Oryctolagus cuniculus: one gene and its partner. The protein of the gene in region 1 binds, or shares a complex with, the protein of each later gene. Links are inferred from orthologs where the notes say so. Each region holds a gene or a part of one and is shown on either strand. Other genes may lie near its edges.

Evidence for each region. Proteins that work in one complex are often made in the same cells at the same time.
Region 2: the proteins of S1PR1 (region 1) and early activation antigen CD69 are in contact, whole or in part, in a cryo-EM structure (PDB 8G94), measured with the Homo sapiens proteins. The link is inferred for Oryctolagus cuniculus from reciprocal best matches to the Homo sapiens genes S1PR1 and CD69. Residues at the interface, in NP_001307659.1 of Homo sapiens: Asn157, Leu160, Phe161, Ile164, Ser165, Trp168, Val169, Leu172, Ile173, Gly176, Ile179, Met180, Gly181; in NP_001772.1 of Homo sapiens: Val41, Ala44, Val45, Val48, Val49, Thr52, Ile53, Ile56, Ile59, Ala60, Val63.

What each region holds. Positions count from the first base shown.
Region 1 is NC_091438.1:69,072,810-69,075,849, forward strand, and holds S1PR1 (sphingosine 1-phosphate receptor 1), read right to left. Parts: upstream 1,659-3,040; coding exon 510-1,658; downstream 1-509.
Region 2 is NC_091440.1:101,265,511-101,269,807, reverse strand, and holds the start of early activation antigen CD69, read left to right. Parts: upstream 1-1,495; 5' UTR 1,496-2,338; intron 2,339-4,297. UniProt on the Homo sapiens protein: Transmembrane protein expressed mainly on T-cells resident in mucosa that plays an essential role in immune cell homeostasis.

The sequences.
Region 1 (3,040 bases):
TAAGATACAAAGTAAAGGAGTTGGAGGAGGGGCGTGAAGGGGAAGGGAGGGAGGGATGTGCGGAGCATCCCAAAACAAGCAGAAGTGCACACGCTCACTCGGATTTGGAACTCAAGTGAAAGAAAACATCTTTCCAACACTCCAGACAGACGGACGCTTTCTCATGGGGACGTTAGTCTTTGAGGAGGGGCCAAAAGAACCCTTCGGGAGCTTGACAATGCTAGACCTTTGGCTCAGTGCAAAATCAAAGCTCCAGTGGGGAGGAAACAGACTCCAGGCCGGCCCGATCTCCACCCTTCCCAGTGCATTGTTCAGGGGAGCTACTGCTACCACAAACACGAGGCACCGCCACGATGCTGCGGTTTCCCCCCTCCTCCATCCCTCTGGCTCGCAGCAGCTCCTCCCTGGCAACAGTCGAGGCCCAGAGACGGTCCCCCTACCCCCACCCCCGACGCCGGGTGGTGGGCGACCATGTAACAGTGCTTCCCACGGGTTGGCAGCTGTCCGTTTTAGGAGGACGAGTTGACGTTGCCAGAAGACATGATGGTCTCGGGGTTGTCCCCATCGTCCTTCTGGGGGTGGGAGGAGTTGTCCGATTTACTGCGACTGAATTCCACGCCCGCGATGATGGGGCGCTTGAACTTGCCGGCCGAGTCTCCGCTGGGACACTTGCAGCAGGACATGATCCGGATGAAGGCCCGGCGCATCTCCTTGTTGGTCAGCGTGTAAATGATGGGGTTGGTGCCGGAGTTGAGCACAGCCAGCACCAGGAAGTACTCCGCTTTGAAGAGGATGTCGCAGGTCTTCACCTTGCAGCCCACGTCCAGCAGAAGCAGGATGAAGAGCGGGGCCCAGCAGGCGATGAAGACGCTCAGGACGATGATGACGGTCTTGAGCAGCGCCAGCGACTTCTCCGAGCTGCGGCTGGCCTTGGAAATGTTCTTGCGGAAGGTCAGCCGGCGGCTCCGAGTCCTGACCAGGGAGTAGATCCTGCAGTACAGGATGACGATGGAGAGCAGGAGCAGGGTGAAGACGGTGGTGCAGAAGAGGATATAGTGCTTGTGGTAGAGCGGCAACACGGTGGAGCAGCTGGACAGCGTGCTGATGCAGTTCCAGCCCATGATGGGCAGGCCACCCAGGATGAGCGAGATGACCCAGCAGGCGCTGATGAGCAGGAAGGAGCGGAAGCTGTTGCTGCCATTGTGCAGCTTCATCTTCAGCATGGTGATGTAGCGCTCGATGGCGATGGCCAGCAGGCTGAACACCGACGCAGAGAGCGCCACAAACATACTCCCTTCCCGCAGGAACCACTGCGCCGGCGTCAGCTTGTAGGTGGTGGCCCCCGACAAGAGCAGGTTGGCGGTGTAGGCCACTCCCGCCAACAGGTCTGAGAGGGCCAGGTTGCCAATAAAGTAGTACATGGGGCGGTGGAATTTCTTGGTTTTCCAAATGGTCAGCAAGACAAAGATGTTCTCCAGGATGATGAAGCAGCAGATGAGAATGAAAACCACCGAAGTCAGCTTAATGCCATTCTCCTTGTCCGCGCTGATGTTCAGCTTCCCCGTGTAATTGTAATGCCGCACGATGATATCGTAGTTGACATAGTCGGAGACCGAGTTGCGGAGGGCCTTGACCAGCGGGATGTTGGTGGGCCCCATGGTACCCGCTCTGTCTCCGCGCCACGAACCCGGGGAGCTCTTCTCCGGACGAGCGCTAGAGGGCGAGGCTGAGGCACGAGCTGTCACCCGCTGCCGGGGAGGTTCAGGGAGCAATCCAGGCTTTTTTGTGCAGCCTTGCCTTGCCTGGGGAGAGCCTCAGAAACCGCAGCCTGAAACAAGTCACAAAGAGGAAGGAGTCAGGCAGAAAGCCACAGCACACTGGTATAATTCATTCTGGCCAAGGCACTGCTCCAGTTTTGTTCTTGTTGATTTGGTTTAGGGAAACGTAGGGAGGGGAACTTTTTTGTTAAATAAATTTCTTGCAAAAAGGGGGGTGGGGCCGTTGGGGGTAGGGGCGAGGGGAAACAGAGGAAGAAAGCCCAAACATTTACCCAAGCTGAAAATTCCAAACAGAAGAGACGAAAACTCTCTCCCTATTGTCACAGCCGCTCAAATGGAAATGGGAAACCTGGGGTGCATGGCGGAAGGAGTAGGGGTGGGGAGGCGCCCCATTCGGACTCCACTCTCGCCTGCTCGCCCCACCCTCGACGCCCTGATTTCCATTCGGGAGATTCTCCGAAGCCGCCACCAGCTCAGCTGTGCGCTCACCACCAGCTCACGGCCTCTCCTCGGAAGACACTTAACCGCCAGCCACAGGGTGGAGACGCACACCTCTTCCCTTGCCCCACTTTACCCCCCACCCACGCCAAGCTCAAGGACGCAAGCACCACCTCCTAATTGCCATGCAAGAAATTAGATTTGCACGAAAATCATTTGACAGCGCAAGTCATTTTTTGGACTCTATTAATAACTCTCTAGGAGCAGGTGTGCTTAGGGTCGGAGGGCGCAGCGAGGTGTGGGCAGGCGGGTCCGCCCCATCTTGCGGTAAACAGGAAAGCTTAGCGCCTCCGTGAAGCAACTGCCTTTTCTACCTTCTTCTTTTTTTTCCCGCAAGTCAGTGCAAGTAAATTTAAAGGCGCTCAGTGCAAACCATTCATAAGAGATTGCAGCAAATCTCATAAGTTTTGCACATCGGTTGATTGCATAAATATTTTAGGGTTAGTATCACACGAGAGAGAGAAACAGAGGGGAGAGAGGGAGGGAGAGAGAGAGAGAGAGAAAGTTACAGGGCTAAAGATAACAACAGTTCATGCCACCGCATTCCTAATCTCCAATGCAAAAGCGCTCTCCAAAAAGGCGCCCACACAGACGTCTAGGGCATTGCTAAACTCGCCGGCGCAGCCTCATTTACGGCTGCCCTCCAACGCTCTGCCTCCTTTAAACACCCAGAAACTGAAGGGAATGACGCCCAGCAGCAATCTGCAAAAGTCTCTTTCAAGTTGGTTAAAAGTTTCAAGGTAAGGTTGCAAAGAAAAAGTGCA
Region 2 (4,297 bases), on another chromosome or scaffold:
GGTGACTACGTGGTGGGCGGAAGTGCTGGATCCCTGTTAGGGAGAAGACTGAGACAAGGAGGAGGAAGAGAAGGTGGGTGGCCAGATGGCAGATGCTGGGATGAAGCCATTCCCCCCACCCCCAACTTGAGATGAAATGCAGTCCTGTGCCTCTTACTAGTGTCCCTGTCCACTAGGACCTCATGGGTGACAGCGGCCTCAGGCGGAAGCTGAAAAATCCCTATTGACTGGTGACGTTTCCAACACATTACTTACCTGTGTATAATGGCGCTGGCGTGAACATAACTGCTGCTCTGCCAGTTGTACCCGAGTGTAGCAGTCGGGCAGCTCCAGGGCCTTGAGAGGAGCCGCCGAGTCGCCCCTTGCCCACCCTCCGGCCCTCACTCACCCCGACCCGCGGCCGTGGCCCCGCGCAGCCCCCAGGACTCCGCACCGCCGCCGCCGCCCTCTCCGCGCCGCGCCGCCCGCCACCGCCTCTCCGGCCACAGAGACCGCGATCGCGGCCGGGGACGCCGCCCAGAGGGCAGCGTGGCCACCGGACCTACGTACCCGCCTTGCTCACTATTTTTATGAGTGTATAACTAATAACTTTTTGTCTATAAAAGAATTTTAAAGAGACGTCTTCAATTTGTATTTAATCGAAAGCAGCCGCATCTCGGGCCACTAAGGTTGTGACTTCGTTTCTAAGCCCCGCCCCCCTCCTTCGCTGACTTTGGGGTTTTCGGGGTCCCTGGCTGCTTCGGGCTCCTGAGGACCGCCCGGGCCCCCACATTCGTGAGGCGGCCCCCGGGCGAGTGTGACGTGGCTGTCCGCGGTGCTCCGCTCCCGCGCTTCCCCGCGTTCACGTGCGGCGCGGCGAGAGGGCGGAAGACACTGCGCCCCGCGGGAGCCCCATAACAGCTGGCGGGAGGAGCTCTCCCGCACGAAGCGACCTCCCCCGGCCGCCCCTACGCCCCGGCGGCGGAAGACTCGGGGCCGCCGCCTCCGCGTCCTCCTCGGCGTCTGCCTCTGCATCGTCCTCCCCGCCATGCAGCGGTCTCGCTGGTGCGCGCTCCGCCTTGCCAGCTTCAGCCACCGGATCCGCGCGACCCGGGGGCGACCCGGGCGGCGGCCAAGCTCCCTGGCCTGGAGCCTGCGCCCCCTCCCACGGCTCCCTTCCAAGCTGGCGGACAGCCACGACTTGAGCCCGCCGGGCGGCTTCCTGCGGCCGGGATTGGACCCCGTGTCCGTCCCGCCGCAGAGACCGCTACCGCCAGGTGTAAGGCTGAAGGCAGTGAGCGCCCCCGGCCGCGAGTACGGCAACCCCGCGTGTTCGTCCGTGTTAGCAGGGGCGGCTCTGGGGGCAACCGCCGGGCGTTGGCGGCGCCCCACAGCGCCCGAAAGCTAGCCGGAGGCCGTCAGTCGGCCCCTAGAGGCCCACTTGCGCAGTGGGCCCCTGGATCTCAGCCACGGCCAGCGGCCGACTGCACACGACTTCCCCCTGGGGCGACAGCTCTCCAGCAGGACTACCCCGGGCCCCGGGTCCCCGAGGAACTGCGGAGCAGCGGGCACTGTCACCCCGCCCTGTCGCTTCCTCCGGGCTTCCAGCCCCATCTCGGGCTCAACCATTCGCCCTTCCTGCCCGACCAGATGCAGCCGCAGGGACTGCCGCTCCGTCACCAAGAGCTCGTGGCATCCGGTTCCTGCCTGGCGGAGGAGTCCAAGCCAAAGAGGTGAAGGAGGTGGTGGCCGCGGAAAGGGATGGCCACCCACACTTCCGATTGCGCGGGCCAAAGTCCACGCAAAAACGTTCTCGTCTTCAGGCACACCTGCGAACCCACACAGGTGGGGGACAGTGCCGCTGTCACCGGCATGGCTTGTAGGTGGAAGTTGCTCCGATGACCCCACCGGGCATCGGCCGTTCCAGTGCCAGAGGTGCGCTCCGGCGTTTTTCGGGTCGGAGTGCTTCGCCTTACTCAAGAAGAGGCACTTTGAAATCCCAGCCAGTGGCCAGGACCCACGCTGCTGGAAGAGAATTCAGTATTTTTAGCCTTTGACACTGTTTTCCTGACGCGAGGGAAGCGCAGCCAGAAAGCACTACACTTTCAAGTTCCCAAGGAGTCAACTCCTGAATGGATAATCAGGAGAAAGGAGGAATCCGGAAGACAAAAATCTGAGGGCATGTGGGGTCTGCGGCCGGATCTTCTATCATTCCAATTCTAATTCAACTTGAGTATTTCTGGACTTAGACGGACCGCCTAGGGACTGACTGGAAGTTGTGGATATCAGGGTATCAAGAAGAGCCAAGCCTTGGGGCGAGGGAAGACCAGAATTGTCATGAATTGAGCTTTGGTGCAATGTAAGTACAAAGATCACCTTGTGTTCTCTTTGCCTTCTAAAAGCCATTGTTCCCATGTTAGACGAGGTAGAAATTCAGTTACAGAAAATGTGTGTGCATAGCAAGAATGAGGGTGCTTGGTGAGTCTTGGTGGTACAGGTGCCCAGTGAGGAAGCCTAAGTTCTTAAACTGCTGCCTGCTTTGACAAGGACAGTGTGTTGTCTTCTGATCTACATGTACGACCTAGCTCAGGTAAATACACCTACTTTAACTTCTTTAACATTTTCATGCACTGTAACTTCAGATGTGCAATAATTTGTACAATGGTTTATTCCCAAGGATGACGTAAGCAGAACAAATGTTTTTATTATGTAGTTTCTTGCCTTGATAAATATGTAGTACAAAGTTAAGCAAACTTCTATTTTGTATGTTTGTAAGCTACGGTTAAAAAATGGAACATTTTGGATACACAAGGTGAGAATTAAGTTTTAAATAAACCTATAATATTTTGTCTGAAAAAAGTGCAGCAATGCAATGATAGCATATAATTCTTTATAATGATAATAAATGTGTCACTGGTTTATATATACTGTATTTTAATCATTGTTTTAGAGATGCTTTCTGCTTCTATAGAAATGACATGCTGTGAAACAGTATATCGTATGACACTGACAGCAGCCTCATACACCTTGTACTTGCCTTGTGTCATAGTTGAATCAAGGGGCCAGGTTGGGTACTGTACCATCCAGCTACACTCTGATGTGAAAACAGTGACAAAATTACCTCTGGTGTACTTCCTTGAACACATCTCTGTTCTTAAGTGAAGTGTGACACTCTATAAAAATTTCTTTCTTTCTTTTTAAAAGTCTGTTTCCAAAGTGTCTTATCCCTACTTGAGAGCAATAGGAACACTGGGAAGAGCACCCATGAGTCAATAGACAAACTTGCATTTGAATTCTTTCTTCTAATACTTGCTGTGTGGCACCGGGCGAAATGCTTCCCAGCTCTGAGCCTGTGTTTAATCGTCCACTTGCTTGGTTCATGGAAAGCTTTTTTCACAGTCTGTGACTGTTCCCTGTATGTTTATTTTGGAATAACCTGGTGTGTAAGAACTGGCCACCAAAGGCAGGTGTTGTGAGACTAAAGAAAGAGGACAGATCCAAGATGACATGGGCTTTCATTTACTGGGGGGACTCATGGACGGAAGTGTGGTCTTGGGCAACCACAAGACAATGGATCCTTGCAGTCTTGGTCAGTGTTAATGGGTTTGCATGTTAAGCTGGACAGAGACAGTCCCGGGCTCACCTAGGTGCTCCTGGACTTTCTCAAGAAATAGCAACAAACCAGGCATCAGATAAAGCCCTTTCTCAGGGCTTGGGATGACCTCTAGGGACACCTAAAGAGCAAGATGGTGATTATGTCCAAAGTGGCTGGAGTAATGTCAAGCAGAATCCCTACAGTGCTGCGTCCTTACAATCATTACCATGTTTTGAACATGGGTGTGCTCACAGTAGGAAATGAAAACGTTACAGAGGGTTCTATCAGGGAAAACAGAGTCTGCTCCCACCCCTGATGCCCCGCCCATCCACTTTCATTTCCTGGGGAAAAACACTGTTGACTTTTTGTGTGCCTTATCAGATATATTCTGTTTATATAGAACGATGTATAAGTACATTCTTATACAAATACACACATGTATTTAACTCAAGTCATAGTATAGAATAACGTTATTCCTAATATAACTTTTCCTCTGTTAACTATGTTTTGAATTTTCTATTTTTATCCTCATTAAAACTGCCTTTTTTTTTAAAAAAAGATTTATTTATTTATTTGAAAGTCAGAGTTACAGAGATCAGAGGCAGAGAGAGAGAATGATCTTCCATTTGTTGGTTCACTTCCCAGACGGCCACAACTGGAGCTGCGCCAATCTGAAGCCAGGAGCCAGGAGCTTCTTCCGGGTCTCCCACAAGGGTGCAGGAA